2 linked regions of the Pelodiscus sinensis genome follow. The protein of the gene in region 1 binds, or shares a complex with, the protein of each later gene. Links are inferred from orthologs where the notes say so. Each region holds a gene or a part of one and is shown in the gene's direction. Other genes may lie near its edges.

Evidence for each region.
Region 2: the proteins of WWC1 (region 1) and DDN are in contact, whole or in part, in a crystal structure (PDB 6J69), measured with the Mus musculus proteins. The link is inferred for Pelodiscus sinensis from reciprocal best matches to the Homo sapiens genes WWC1 and DDN. Residues at the interface, in NP_740749.1 of Mus musculus: Glu13, Glu14, Ala15, Arg16, Asp17, Tyr23, Ile25, Asp26, His27, Arg30, Thr31, Thr32, Ser33, Trp34; in NP_001013763.1 of Mus musculus: Tyr227, Val228, Ala229, Pro230, Pro231, Ser232, Tyr233, His237, Arg238, Thr239.

What each region holds. Positions count from the first base shown.
Region 1 is NC_134727.1:8,391,419-8,399,202, reverse strand, and holds the start of WWC1 (protein KIBRA), read left to right. Parts: upstream 1-4,721; 5' UTR 4,722-5,143; coding exon 5,144-5,262; intron 5,263-7,784. UniProt on the Homo sapiens protein: Regulator of the Hippo signaling pathway, also known as the Salvador-Warts-Hippo (SWH) pathway.
Region 2 is NC_134729.1:4,988,784-4,996,472, forward strand, and holds the start of DDN (dendrin), read left to right. Parts: upstream 1-4,477; 5' UTR 4,478-4,830; intron 4,831-5,260; exon of another isoform or gene 5,261-5,677; intron 5,678-6,176; 5' UTR 6,177-6,189; coding exon 6,190-6,263; intron 6,264-7,222; coding exon 7,223-7,689. Other genes in the region: PRKAG1 (5'-AMP-activated protein kinase subunit gamma-1), read left to right, coding at 1,070-1,107, 1,733-1,879, 2,204-2,308. UniProt on the Homo sapiens protein: Promotes apoptosis of kidney glomerular podocytes. Podocytes are highly specialized cells essential to the ultrafiltration of blood, resulting in the extraction of urine and the retention of protein.

The sequences.
Region 1 (7,784 bases):
CAGGCTTTGGCCAGCAACGTACTCTTTACCATATTAAAGAGATCATAGTATTAAAATAGATGCTGTTATCTAATAATTTCCAAGATAGTCTATTAAAATGGACTATACAAAGCTACACGGTCTGGCACAATTGGGTTTCTAGGTACACTGATGGTATAGCAATAATCAATGGAGTGGCACTGGATAGCACCGAGACAGGGAGCCTTGTTCCTTGGCCTGTCCTACACAGAGCCCTTCCTTTTACGTATGGAAAGAACTTACCTATGAATCATTTTGTTTGCTTGTGTGGCAATAGTCACCTGTTTATCCATGACTTCATACTTCAAACAGATTTTGATAACACTGAATTCCTTTGTTATGAGTAAAAGTGGTAAAAGGGGAAGAGTTACAATGCAATAAATGCCTGCCTACGTACATGCATGCATTTTAATGAACAGTCAGGAATTTTTTTATTTAAAAACAATGGAATAATAAAGGGTTTTCACTGGAAGTTGAATATGTCTAGAAATATTTTTTTAGAAATATTTTTTTTTAAACAACACATCAAAGGCATAAATACAACTTGATAGTGTGCATTACTAGAGAACACTATCCTATTTGAATACACATGTATTTTGAGCTCATTAATCTCCTTGTTCTTTTTTCTCATCCTTCAATGCAATTTTTAATTGCTGCTGATTGTTTTCTGCTATATTACCTAACTCTCTTATAGCACTTTTCATCTATATATAGATCTCAATGTGGATTGCAAAGCGAGATGAGTACTGCTATACCCAATCTAAAAATGATTAACTGAAGCATTAGCCCATAACAAATCAGTGGCAGAATGGCGGACAAAGCCCATACCACCTGACTCCCTCTCCAAGATCCTGTCTAGTGGACTGCACTTCTGTAAACAAGTTTGATCATTCGCTAATGGAGTGAATAGTAGTTTAACATAGGGACACAAGCATTCCTGTTCTGGATCAATCAAGGGGACCGTCCGATCCAATAGCCTTTCTCTGATGCTCTGACGCCAATCCTAGATGCTTCACAGGAAGTTGTAAGAAACTCAACAGTGAACAATAATTGAATATCCAAATATGGATTATTATGGAACCGTCATTCTCACTCATTTTAATCAGTAGGGAGTTTATGCCTTGGAGCTCTGCCTGTCTATCCCCTTTAAAGTTCACTTTTAAATTCTTTTTTAATGGTGGTGCTCTCATTATCTACAAATAGAGGCCTTTTTACTAAAAGCTTTGGCCTCAGTGATATCCAGTGGCAATGAGTTCTGCAGGTTAAACACACTTTGGCTACGTCTACACTGGCCCCTTTTCCGGAAGGGGCATGTAAATTTCACCAGTCGTCGTAGGGAAATCCGCGGGGGATTTAAATATCCCCCGCGGCATTTAAATAAAAATGTCCGCCGCTTTTTTCCGGCTTTTAAAAAAAAAGCCGGAAAAGAGCGTCTACACTGGCCCCGATCCTCCGGAAAAAGCGCCCTTTTCCGGAGGCTCTTATTCCTACTTCCTACTTTTCCGGAGGCTCTTATTCCTACTTCCTACTTTTCCGGAGGCTCTTATTCCTACTTTTTATTTAAATGCCGCGGGGGATATTTAAATCCCCCGCGGATTTCCCTACGACGACTGGTGAAATTTACATGCCCCTTCCGGAAAAGGGGCCAGTGTAGACGTAGCCTTTGTGTATTTAATAAACCTATATTTCCTTTTATCAGTTTTAAAATTCACTGTCTTTAAATTCATTGAATGTCTCCTTGTTTTTCTGTCATCAGCAAAAGAAATAATAGTGACTTATTTACCGTCTGTTATGGGTAATATGAACCTTTCAAGAGCCCAAAGGGCTCTCTCCTGATTAATGTTTCCTCATGCCCCAGTTTTGCCTCATCAAATGAAACGGTAGAGTAGGTAGGACCCAGAGGATGCAGCCAATCAAGGGGAACAGATATTACAGGCAAGCCTGGTAGAAGGTGATGTCTGCTCTACAAAGGAAAAGAAAAATGTATGTGTCTTGCCACCCCCGCTACAATACTTAAAGTCTATACTGCAACACTATTTCAAAATAACTAGCGCTATTTCATAATAACTTAGAGTATGTCTACACTACCCCCCTAGTTCAAACTAAGGGGGGTAATGTAGTCATACGGAGTTGCAAATGAAACCCGGGATTTGAATTTCCCAGGCTTCATTTGCATAAAGCCGGCCGGCGCCATTTTTAAATGCCGGCTAGTTCGGACCCCGTGCCACGCGGCTACACGCACGGACTAGCTAGTTCGGATTAGGCTTCCTAATCCGAACTAGCTGTACACCTCGTTCCACACCTCGTACCTGCTCTTACCCTAGACACCCTGTGCTGAGCCACCTCTCTGGCCCAGTTCAGGGAAGCCCTGCAGTCAGGTTCCCTATGCTTTGATGCTCAATACATCCTTAGGGCTTAACTCCTTCCTGCCAGAACTGTAACCAGGGGACAGGAGGTGACTGGGTTATGTAGGTGGCCAGTGGCAGTTTAGAGGTGTGAACTGCCTTTCTGCACTATGCTGGCAGGAAGGCACAAGCTGCTTCTAGCCACAGAGAAGCAGTGTGTGGGGGGGAGATGACCTGTGAAAAAACATGGGCCAGGTCATCCCTGTCTTCCCTCCCCATTTCCCTTCAGCTGGAAGCAGCTCCCATTCATTCCCTCCTGCACAGGGATGAAAGGCTGCTACTGGTGTGAACTGTGACAGAGGTTTGGGGAGGGGCCTGTGACCCTTCATTTCCTTCCCCCCCCCCCTCCCACATGTTGCCTTGAAAAGAGGTGGATCCATCCTGGCAGCCCAGCCAGTGTATACAGTACTGTGCAGGGAGGCTTGCATCAGGCTGGTTACTCACCCCTATCCCTGTGAATCATAGAATCATAGAGCTGGAAGAGACCTCAGAAGGTCATCAAGTCCAGCCCCCTGCTCTAGGCAGGACCAATTCCAACTAAATCAACCCGGCCAGGGCTTTGTCAAGCCGAGACTTAAACACCTCTAGGGATGGAGACTCCACTACTTCCCTAGATAACCCATTCCAGTGCTTCACCACCCTCCTAGTGAAATAGTTTTTCTTAATATCCAACCTGGACCTCTTCCACCACAACTTGAGACCATTGCTCCTTGTTCTGCCATCTGTCACTACTGAGAACAGCCTCTCTCCATCCTCTTTGGAAGCTCCCTTCAGGAAGTTGAAGGCTGCTATCAAATCTCCCCTCACTCTTCGCTTCTGCAGACTAAACAGACCCAAGTCCCTCAGCCTCTCATCATAAGTCATATGCTCCAGCCCCCTAATCATTTTGGTTGCCCTCCGCTGGACCCTCTCCAATGCGTCCACATCCTTTTTGTAGTGGGGGGCCCAGAACTGGATATAATACTCTAGATGCGGCCTCACCAAAGCCGAATAAAGGGGAAGGATGTCTGTGTCAGAGAGGTTACGGGACTGTGTGTGTCACAGTCAAACCTTACAGATAAGGAGGTAAATAAAAAGATTCCAGCCACACAGCATTTCTTTTTCATAGGAGTGCAGTCAACTTGATGTTAATTTGAACGTGTGTACTGCATAGTTCTGCTTGCCACTGACCTCACTTGAATATGAGTAATTTTACCAGGTGTCCCTTATCCAACATAGGGAAATATGGTCACCTTATATGGTACCACTGATGCTGCTAGAGGAAATGAGTGTGCCCCTGCCTCACTCCACACAAAATGGAAGGAGAGGTAGTAGTGCACTCCTCACCCTCTTAGCCCAATGGTTAGAGCATTTTCCTGGGATGTGAGATCCATTTTGAATCCTTCCCCCTCTGGGATGGGGGGATATTGACCCTGTCTCCCACCTTGCAGGTAATTGCTTTAATCACTGGGCTAAAAGTACAAGCTGGGTATCACTTTGTTTTCCCCTCCACCCCTCCGAATTTTGAATGGACTCAATTCAGTAGGTGGCTTCTGAGCTTGTCAGCTGGATCAAGCCCTACATCCAATTAATTGCTCTGGGGCACAGGCCTGTGGATGCCCAGTCTGCAATACAGGGGAACTTTCACTTTAAAAATGTAGGTGCCAAGTGAGTTTTGGTACCTAAGAGTTCAGTTTATTTATGCAGTGGAGCCAAAATTGCAACTAGGTGACAAAACACCTTGGTGGATCCCGGCCCTTGGGTCTCCTCTGAGCACACTGGCTAAATCCAGCCATTTTAATATGCCACCCAAAGCTTTCTATCTGGAAAAAATAAAAGGAATGGGGTGGGAGGGAATGACCAGGAAACCCATCACCCTAAAGCAAGCACAAGCTGCGGGGTGCCTGAGCGGTGACCTCCTGGACTGGTTGACTGTAGCACTGGGGTAAGGGCTGTGGCTGCTTAAGGCTGCCACGCTGGGCTCCACAAACAACCCCGTGCACGCTCCAGCTCACGGCCATGACTACCTGGGGCCGGTAATTTCCCGGGGAAGGCTCCGCAGAGTCAGGGGCGGGATCCTGCCTCACCTGTGCCCTGTTCTAACCACTAGCCCGCTCTGCCTGGGGCCGCGCTAGCCCGAGACGCCCCCGCCCCTCGCTGCCGGGGAGAGCAGATGGCTCGGGGGGGGCCACCCCGCCCTCCCGGCTGGGCACAGGGGGGCGCCGAGCGACCCAGCCGGCGTCCGGGGCAGGTGCCGCCCGGTGCCCAGCCCCGCGCGCGGCAGAGGGAGGGGCTGCGCTGTGCCCACCCCCGTGCCCTGGATGGGGAGGCGCCTGCCTGCGGTGCGCCCGTGTTTACAGGAGCAGCGGCCGCCGCGCCGGTACCTGCCGCGCCGGAGCACCTGGGGGCGGGCCGGGCGCTCGGGCCGGGGCGGAGCAACACCCCCCGCCCCGCCGCGGCGGTGCCAGGCTGGGCCGGGAGCGGCAGGAGCGGAGCCACCCCCGAGCGGCCGGAGCCGCGCTGGAAATGGAGGCGTGAGGGGAGCCCGCGCCGGGATCTCCGGCTCCCCCGGGCGTAGGATGTGACTCCCGCCGCGTCCTCCTCGCAGCGCCTGGGCGGGTCGCCGCTGCCCCAGGCCCCGGGCCTTGCAAGGGGGGGCCGCCCCCCAGCCCGGCTGCTCCTGCCGGCGCCAGGCGCGGGGCTGGGCGCTGCATGGGGCGGCTCAGGCCGGCCTGGAGAAGATGCCAAGGAAGGAGCTGCCTCTGCCAGCGGGCTGGGAGGAGGCCCGGGACTTCGACGGGAAAGTCTATTACATCGACCACACCAGCCAAAGCACCAGCTGGATCGACCCGCGGGACAGGTATGAGGCCGGACCGGTTGGACGCGCCCGCGCTGCCTGTCGGGGCAGCCAGGCAGGTGCAGGGCGAGAGGCGTTTGCTCCGCCGCGCAGGGCAGGGGCAGCGCCGGAGCACAAAGAGCCTGATGCTAACGAGCACTGGCTCCTTGGACCCCCCCGACGGCTGGCCCGGGAGAGGGCTGGGGGGTGCGTGTGCTCAGCCTCTGTTGCTGCAGTTGCCAGTGGCGCAGACCAAAGAGGCCTCCTGACCAAGATGTGTAACAGCCCCCAGCGCTGGGTGCACGTTTACATTGATTCCCCCCAAACCACTTCTCTTTGCGGAGGGAGCTCTCTCCACTGCATAGGCTATAGCGGCTCGTAACTTCAGCGTTAGGGGGCAAGAGGCTGGACAAAACTACTTTGAATTTTGCTTGAGCCGCACAATCTTTTCTCGGGTCACTGCTAGGTTGGAAGGTGACTCGTACTGACTTTCATAGTGGGGAAACTGCATGTTGCTCTGTAGACCAGAAAGTATTTTCGGGGACTCTTAGTGCTAGTCTGGATAAAGTGTTTAGTAAACAAGTGATTTGATTTTGATTGATGAATAAATGCATCGATCAATTCATAAATATGGTTGGTACCATAATACCTGTTAGGACTAAATTCTCTGTACCTTTCAATGTGTGGGATAAGGATTTAGATTCATAGGTGTGTGTGTTGCTACCTCTGCTGAGGAAAGGCTAATTCACACAGCTGATGTTTAACTGAATAATATCAAGGTCTTACCTGATTCAGTCAGATGTACCCGGAAAGAGGACCTTTACTGTTTCAAATGTTTCCATGCTGTCCCTAGCCTAACTGGAACACCGTCCCATCCCAAGCATGCAATTTGACTCCATTGAGATTATTCAGTTTATTGTTTTTGATGGAAGAGAAGGAGTTCCCCTAACTCTGGCTACTAAGGGCAATCATTATAATGTTCGTTTTTGCCCCCTAAGCCATAAAAAAGTGACTTCTTACATTTTGACTTGTAAGTAGACCACCTGCATTATAATATATTCACAATATAAAGTGTGTCCTGGAAATGTCCTGGTTGCTTTAAGTTTGTCAGATGATCAAGAGTCTGCAGTTTTGGGCCAACTTCTGCAGGTGCAACCTGTCATTATTATATTTGCACTGCTGACACTCAAGATTTGACTTTAGCCTTTTGTTTAGTTGTGTTACACTGCCACTTAGCTTGCCACTGTTTAACAGCTACTTGGTAACCATTAGAATGTTAATGGAAGTGAGAGACATCCCTTGACTGATGTCATGACCTTCTATTTGTCCTGTATGCTATAATGAACCTCTTACTCAGTTCTCTTATGTCTCTATCTTCCCTGTGTTTCCCTTCTAACCTGTTTACAATCCTTGCACTGTCTTTAAAAACTCTTTAAAACATGCTTCTGCCATGTCTAGAAATCATTTCTTTTTGGCATTGGTAGGGAAAGTAGTCAGTTTTGTCACTGTTTTGGTTTCCTCACCCTTCCATCCATCCCTCAAACCTAGACTGTAAATTCTCTGTGGCAGGGACTCTCTTTGTTGCATGATGTTCAGTATCTAGCATGATGGGGTTCTGATCCTTGACTGTGGTTTCTAAGTGGCATTATAAATATTTGGGCAAAGAGTCCTTGTTCTGGCTCTTGTTTCCCATTTCGTTTCACAGAAGAGTCTTGTCCCCTTTGTTACTTCAGGGCTCTTGCAGATCTGACATAGACACTAATCTTCTTATCAAGCATGTTGAAATTATTATTTGGATTGTAGTAACATTCAAAGACTCGAATCACGATTGGGATCAAATTGTGGTGTGCTCTACAAACACCTAGAGACTTTTGGACAGAGACTATGGATCTAAGATCAGTGCTGTAGTATATTAGTGCTGTATTACGACATGTTCTATGTTTTGACCCATCTTTTTAAAACAAAATATCATGACCTAAATTCCTATTAACATTCTCATAGGTCCTACAATTGACTAACTGCTCTGATTCTGTTATTTTCATTCTAACTCATCTGATGAAGTCGAAAGCTCATGATCCAATATATTTTTGTTAGTCTCTGAGGTGCCGCAGAATTTGTTTTTAAATTCCCATCGGATATTCATGGAGTTAGTCATGTCCCATAGTGCTTCTCTGATCATTCTTATATCTCCTTGTATTACTGCTCAGTTTCCTTCTTGACCCACTTTACTTTGAAGTGTGCACTATTATTCTTTTGATCATTATTATAAATTATGCTCAAGATATTAAAAGCATCTGCTGTGAGTCACCATACCAGTTACTTTTTGAATGTTCTGTCAACTTAGGTCTCCTTAAAAAATTGCAGTTAAAATTATCAGCATGTGATCAATTCAGTTTTCTTGCTAATCTGTAGAAATGTCACTGAAACTGTCAATTATACTGTTTCTTTAGGAGATCATGTGAAGAGACAGATTTTTAACACATTTTAATTGTACAATTACTGCAACTGAAGAGACTTGTGCCTCAAAATACTATGTTAACACTTCT
Region 2 (7,689 bases), on another chromosome or scaffold:
GTGCTGAGCTGAGCCCCCCCCCCCGGGGGGCCAGGCCAAGCTGAGACACCCCCGGTGCGGAACCAGAGCCCCCCAAGAACATGCCGATCCTGAGCGCACCCCCAGACCAGAGCGTTGCTCCGTCTCTGCAGCAGGACTTTGCAAAGGGCTCTCGGTTTCCCGTGGCTCCCCAGGTTGGGCTGCCTGGCTGCTCCATGTCCCTCCCCTCCTCAGGCTGCAGGTGCCCCTCGCGGGAAGCTCATGATGGACCCGCACGTTCCTGGCGCTCAGTCTGGGCTCCCGGGAGCTGCCAGGCAACGTGGGGAGACCGCCATGGGAATTGAGCCGCCGTCGAGGTGCCGGCTGGCCACCTGGATCCCCAGCAACCTGCACTGCTGTCAGTCCCAGCCCACGTTGGCCCAGACACCAGCCAGCCCCCGGCCCCATAGTAGGGATGTCACAGAGCAGTGGAGTAACGTGAGTGTATCCGCGAGTGGAGTACTCGACCACTCGCGCTCCCCCCCGCTCCTCCCCGTCTTGCTGCCTCTCATACAGAGGCAGCAAGGCTGGGGACGGGAGATGGTGCTGGGGGGGAGCTGGCTTAAAAGCCAGTTCCCCCCAGCACTGTCTCCGTGGTGCCGCCTGCTGCGGAGGCAGCCGGGGCGGGGGGGCGAGGGGAGGCTGCTCCGGCAGCAGCTCCTGTTTGCAGCGGCCCGGGCTGGCTCACTCAGCGTGAGCCGGGACCGAGCAGTCCCAGCTCGCTCCAGCCTGGGACGCTGCACTTGAAATGTAGGAAGGACCCGGCATCTGCTGAGCTGCGGTGCGGGGGGCTGCCAGAGCTACCCTGCTGCGGCTCCGCAGAGCGGCCCTTCTCCAATTGTATCGACTACACAGTTCGCTGGTTAACCACAATTTCACACCCTTACCCCCCCCCCAACTCTGCGCTCCCACAACCAGGCCCAGCCCCCAGAGAGCCCGCAGGGCTGGAACGGACCCATCTGGCTAGGGGGAGGGATTCCCACCCTGCAGCCACTGTGGGGCAGGGAGGGGGGCCTGTGCTCATCTAACCAGTGTCTCCCCTCTGTCTTAGGTCGGGTGGTTGACATATACTCCAAGTTCGACGTCATTGTAAGTACTGGAGCTCCAGGGGTAGCCGGGTACTGACCCCAATGCAGAGCTTAGGGGGCGCTGCCTGCGTGGGCCAGTGGAACGGGGTGGGGGGGGCGCCAGGTGCTGGGAAGGGGGGGGCGTTTGGAGCACCTTGCCTGCGTGGGCCAGTGGAACGGGGTGGGGGGCGCCAGGTGCTGGGAAGGGGGGGCGTTTGGAGCACCTTGCCTGCGTGGGCCAGTGGAACGGGGTGGGGGGGGCGCCAGGTGCTGGGAAGGGGGGGCGTTTGGAGCACCTTGCCTGCGTGGGCCAGTGGAACGGGGTGGGGGGGGCGCCAGGTGCTGGGAAGGGGGGGCGTTTGGAGCACCTTGCCTGCGTGGGCCAGTGGAACGGGGTGGGGGGGGCGCCAGGTGCTGGGAAGGGGGGGGCGTTTGGAGCACCTTGCCTGCGTGGGCCAGTGGAACGGGGTGGGGGGGTGCCGGGTGCTGGGACAAGGAGGGATTGCAGGCTGGGGGGGGCCTTCGGGGCACCTTGCCTGCACGGGCCAGTGGAACGGGGTGGGGGGGTGCCGCGGTCTCTGTGGGGCAGAGTGAGGGGAGCAGGCAGGTTTTGCCCTGCCCTGGCTCACCCCCAGCCCCGCCCCCAGAACCTGGCGGCCGAGAAGACCTACAACAACCTGGACGTGACGGTGACGCAGGCGCTGAGGCATCGCTCGCAGTACTTCGAGGGCGTCCGCACCTGCTACCGACACGAGACCCTGGAGACCATCATCAACCGGCTGGTGGAGGCCGAGGTAACCTCCCCCCACCCTGGGACCCTTCATGGCCCTTCCTTTCCCCTGGGGTCCCCGTGGCCCGCAGGGCCCCTCCTGTAACTCCTGGGGAGGGACACAGCCCAGCAGCTTGGATGGGAGCCCGGGGGAGGGCCTGGCTGGGTGTGGCATTAGCTGCACTGTCCTAGCCAGTCCCCCGTTTGCCCCCAGCGCCTCCTCCCTGCACTTCCTGTCCCAAGGCAGCGTCCGTGCTGGGCGGCCGGCCTCTGGGTCTGCACTGCCGTGGGAGGGAGCCGTGGGCTGCAGCGCCCCGTCTGACGTCCGTCCGTCTGTCTGTCTGCGCAGGTCCACAGGCTGGTGGTGGTGGACGAGAGGGAAGTGGTGAAGGGCATCATCTCGCTCTCGGACATCCTGCAGGCGCTGGTGCTCCCGGGAGGCCCCCGGCCCTGAGGGCGGCCCCGTGCTGCCTGCAGAGAGACTCTTGCTGAAGTGGGGGCCTGAGTAACAGGGACCAAGGAGGCCAGGCCCCCCCACCCAGCCATGCATCACCTGCTGGCTCTGCCACGGCTCCACCAGCATCATGCCTGCCTCCTTCCCCCTCTCCCCCAGCCAGCGGGAGGGGGGGCGTCATGCCAGCCAACAACCAGCAATAAACTCAGCCCCTTCTCCGGGGCAGGCTTGGTTGCTCCCTCCACGGGGCATGGGGCAGGGCCGGGCCCAGCCCTTTCCAGCACCATGTGGGCGTTCGCCTGGGTGGAGCCTGGCCGGGCACCCGGTGGTGGTGCTGCCAGCCCCTCCTGCCTGGCCAGGGAAAGCCTCTGCGATCAGCTGCCCCCCAGCACCAGGCCTGTTCCCATTTCTGCACTCCGGGACCCTCGACGTTCCCATCTGGGAACTGGATCCGTTTCCTTATTTCCTCCCGGCCCCAGTGTGGGTCCTCAGCCAGCTCCTGCCCTGCAGCACTGCATGGCCGGTGCCCCTGGGCATCTGCCACGACCTTCCCCAGAGAGTGCGCCCGCGGTTTTTACTGAGCACCATTTTTGTAGCCTGTCTCCGGAGCTGGCTCGGTGTGGGCCGGGGCCTGGCTCCCTCTCTTCCTCGCGGGCCCAGGTTTGGAACCCATCCCGCCTGGCGTTGGCGGGTCTGGGCTAGTGCTTGTGGGGATTCTGGGGCGAGGAGCGTCTAGGGGCTTGTGTCTGGGCCCCCGCCCCGGCCCCCGCTGCACCCATCACTGTTCATTTATTGCAAGTCTAATAAAAACCAGGCCCTGTGTCTAGGAGCGGTTACTGGCCAGAGGCTGTTCACGTGGACGCGGCGTAGCTGGGGGGGTGCGACAACTCCAGGGATCGATGGTTCTCCGGGGCCACTGGAGCCAGGACCTGCAATGGGCTTCAGCCGCCTGGGGACTGTTTGGGTCCGGGAGGGAAATCCCCCGCTCTGGGTGGAGGTCCCTGTCAGGGCGGGGCAGGTTCCTAGCCCTACCCCCACAGCCCCTGCCCTGCACGTCTGTGCTGCCTCCCCGGGCGGGCGAGACCCCCAGCCCAGCTGGGGGGCACGTGGCCTAGTGCTCAGGTAGCAGGGAGCTGAGAACGGGAGGAGTAAGTCCCTGTATGGAGCGGAACAGAATCCTGCAGCCCCCAAGGAGGCTCTCCCCAGCTTGGCCTGTGCCCGCTCCCCAGCTCCGCTGCAGCCCCTTCTGGCCCAGCCCTGTGGGTCAGCCAGCAGGGGGCGGGGGGGGGGGGTTTGCTTTCCTCCCTGCCCCTCCATGTAACCATCCCTGGGACAGGACGCTGCTGAGCCTGCGCCACTGTCCAGCCGGTAAATCCCTGTTTGTTCCACCCGTGGGTTTTCTAAAAAGGCTGGAAGCCAGAGCGGCTGCCGGACCCCTCCCCCAGGCGCGGGGGCTAGAGCCGGGCTCCAGCAGCTCCTGATCCCCCTGTCTCAGCAGGGAGCCTCCGGCTGGGCGGAGAGAAGTGGCCAGGGCATCAGGGGCTGAGGGTGGCTGCAGGGAGGGAGCATGAGCTAGTGGTTAGAGCAGGCCCAGGGCACTTGGGCAGAAACATGAGCTGGAGGTAAGTGCCTGGCTCGTGCTCAGGACACCTAGGTCCCTCTGCTCACACGAGCCTCCTTGGGGCCCAGCAACCCCGCTCCTGGGCCAGTTCCCCCCCACGCCTCCCCCAACACCCAGGGCAGCAACTGCCAGTCTCCCCCACTCCCTCCAGACTGGACCCTCCTGTCGACTGGGTGGGGGATGGGCAAGGCTGGGAGCAGAACGAACTAATTAGCTGCTTGTGGAGGGCAGGACGATGCAGGGTGTGTGGGGGGGGGTCAGGGAGTGGCTGCAGGGCGTGGGGGGTGTAGCAGGCACAGACTGCAGGGGGGAGGTGATGGATACAGGCTGTGGGAGGGGAGTCAGGGAATGAGTGTGGGGGGGTAAGTGCCAGGCACAGGCTGCAGGGGGGTGGGGAGGGCAGGTGATGGGTCCGGGCTGCAGGGTGGGGTTCACCAGGGGGTGAGGTACAGACTGCAGGGTGGTGGGGCTGGGAGCAGGCTGATGGGTAGAGGGGGAGGTGTTGGGGTGGGGGCTGGGTGCAGGGGGGTGCCAGGCTCGGGTTGCAGCTCCCGAGGGGGGCTGACCCAGCTGGCTGAGGCGGGTCAGGGGTCTGCAGCTCCAGTGAGCGCCAAGCCGGGCAGCGCCGCTAACAGGCCTGCTGAGAACACGGGTCTCAAGGCAGGGGGGGGCTTTCGATCCCCCCAAGTCCTCTGGCATCTCCGTCCCCGGCTCCCCCGCCGTTGGCATGGCGCCGACAGCCCTGGCGCCTCCCCGGGCGGTGCTGAGCGAGGCACATTCCCTGCCGGGTGGGAGGCTCCGGGGGGCTGCCTAAGAGCACGGCCCGGAGCCGCCTGCTCGTCAGTGCGAAGGGCCCGGCTCCAGGGCCCTGCAACCCAGCCGGGGTTGGCGTCAAGGCCAGGTAGGGTGCCCGGGGCGCCCCAGGGTGCCGGCTCTGATCCAGCCCGGGGCGTGATGCACACGGGGCCGCTGCTGGGATGGGCGCAGGGGGCTCCCTACTTGGGTACAACCTCGTCTCCAGAACTAGGCCCAGCCTGGCACCTCTGTGCCCTGGGGCCCAGATCCTGCTCTGGCCCAGGAGGGAGCCCTGAGCCGACCCGCTCACCTGGGCGCTCTGGCCGCTGTGCTGAGCAGGGGCCGGTCAGAGCCCCGCCCTGCCCCCTCCCTGCCCCCGCGCCGCGGCTTTACCCAGAGGCACAACCCCCAGCCCCCTCGGTGCATCCCTTGCTGGAGCCCAGCTCCGGGACGGTTGCCATGCCGGCGCCTCGTTGCTAGGTTTCGCTCCGAGCCCGCGTGGGCTGCAGCACGTTGTGCCAAACCTTATAATTTGTGTGATTGTTGCATCTCTTGGGGCGATGTGGGGGGGTCCCTGTGCAAGGCCTGGGGTGGGTCTGAGCCCCGACCTCCCCCGGGTGTTTATGCCGCCACTCCCCCATGGCAGGCTCAGCTCCCAGCCTCCATGCACAGGCGGTGCTGGCCCTAGCCGAGGGAGGCGTCCCAGCCCCCTGCCCCCTCCCAGAGCCGGGAATAGAACCTGGCTCTAACCACTAGGCAGGCTTGCCTCTGAGTGCCCCCCCCCCCTCCATCAGCAGGCTGGGGGGATGTGGTGCCGGCAGGGCTGGGGGTCCTGTCTGCGGGGCCCCTTCCAGAGGCTGTCACAGGCCGCAGGTAACTGTCCCTTGTAGAGGCATCCGCATCAACGCGCTGAGCTCTGCCCGGCTGGGCTTGCAGCAGGTGCCTGTTGGCAGGTACGTGGGGGCAGCTCAGGGTCGGGGCGCCTGCAGGGCAGAGGGAGAAGGGGCCGTGCCAGGCGTCCTGGCTGATGCCGGGTTGCAGGCCCTGCTGGAGGGCTGTGTGTCTGCACGGGGAGGGGCGGGGGTGTGCGCACGCTGCGTGCCGTGTGCCTGTCTCCCCGTGTGCACGCTCTGTTCCGGCTGCTGGCAGGCTGGCACTCACCCGCCCGCACAAAGAGCTGCTCCTCTTGCCGACACAGCCCTGGCGCTCAGCTCCCAGGCTCACCAGCAGCCCGTGGGCACAGGCAGCCCCCATCCCTCCCTCTCCTTGCAGCTCTGCCTCGTGGGCACGCCCGGCTCCCTGCGACCGGACAAGCAAGTCCCCTGGCACCATGCTGGGCTGCTCGGCGCTGGGGGGCCCCGGGCAGCAGCGGGGACCAGGCCCTGGGCGCCTGCAGATCTGCAAGCGGACGGACCTCCTGGTGCTCGAGATTAACACAGTTTCTTGTTGCAGCCAGGGAAGCACCATGGACCCAGGGCACTGGCCTGTTCAGGCCCCCGGCACCCCCTGGATCTACCGGAGCATCTCGGGGGAGTACGCGTGAGTCAGGGCCTGTCTCGCTAGATCAGTCATCCTGGCGGGGGCGGAGGGCACCATGTTGCAAAGCTTTTCCCTATGCTTGCCTGGTGGGAAGTGGGGGGGGCACCGGCAGGGCTGGGGGCGCCCAGGGCCGGGCTGGCAGGGGCTGCAGGTCGTGACTGAGGGGCACCAGCAGGGTTGGGAGAGCCCAGGACTGGGCTGGCAGGGGCTGTGGGGCGGGGGTGAGGGGTACCGGCAGGGCCAGGCTGGCAGGGGCTGCGGGGCAGGGGTGAGGGGTACTGGCAGGGCTGGGGGCGGCCAGGACTGGGTGGGCGGGGCTGAGGGGTACCAGCAGGGCCAGGCTGGCAGGGGCTGCGGGGCACGGGTGAGGGGTACTGGCAGGGCTGGGGGCGCCCAGGACTGGGTGAGCGGGGGTGAGGGGTACCGGCAGGGCCAGGCTGGCAGGGGCTGCGGGGCAGGGGTGAGGGGTCCCGGCAGGGCTGGGGGCGCCCAGGACTGGGTGAGCGGGAGTGAGGGGTACCGGCAGGGCTGGGGGGAGCCCAGAGCTGGTCTAGCTGGGGCTGTGAGTTAGGAGTGGGGGACACTGACATAGCTGGGGGGAGCCCAGGACTCAGGTAGGATGGGGCTGTGGGTCGGGCTGCATCTCCACTTTCCCCGACATCCTGCCACACAGGGTGCCCCCTTGCACTGCTGGCCAACGCTTCCTTTTGCCTGACCGCTACAGACCCTTCACAGACTCAGCCAGGGCACCTCCACTCGCCCCGTGGGCCAGGAAAGCCCCAGGGCGTCTGCCAGGCTGGGCGGGGGTGGTGCCAGGGTCACCCATGTTCCACCCTTGCGTGGCGCCCCAGTTAGCAGGATCCCTGCCCCCACAGTGGCCTCTCCGTAGCCCCCCTTGCAGCCGGGCTGCCAGTGGGTGGTGTGGATGTATCCCCTGAGCGGCTGTCTCTGCCCCGCAGATGCCTGGAGAAGCGGTTCGCAGCGGAGCTGTGGCCAGCCCGGTCCCCGAGGCCCTGCGAGCGCCAGGACCCCATGTGGAGCAAGGCACCTCCCCAGCCCCAGCCGCCTTCTGGCTGTGACCCCCGGAGCCTGCGGCTGCTGGGCAGAGCAGCAGGAGGGCACCAGGCCGCCCCCCAGGAGAGAAAGCCCCGCAGCGGCTCTGTGGGCGGGAGGGGCCTAGGCTGGTCAGCTCCCCCGGAGAGACTGGGGGAAGCGGCATTGAAAGGCATGCCAGGCAGGCGGCGGCTGGCAGGGGACACCAGGGGGCCACTCCCGGCTGGGCCCCCCAGCTACGAGACCCACATGCTGAGGCGGCTCCGGGTGGAGCAGAGCAGCCGCAAGCCCAACGAACTGCGGCCCCCACCCTACATCTCGCCGCCCGCCTACGACGCGCCCCACCGCACCCTCCCCACCAAGCGGCCCCGCA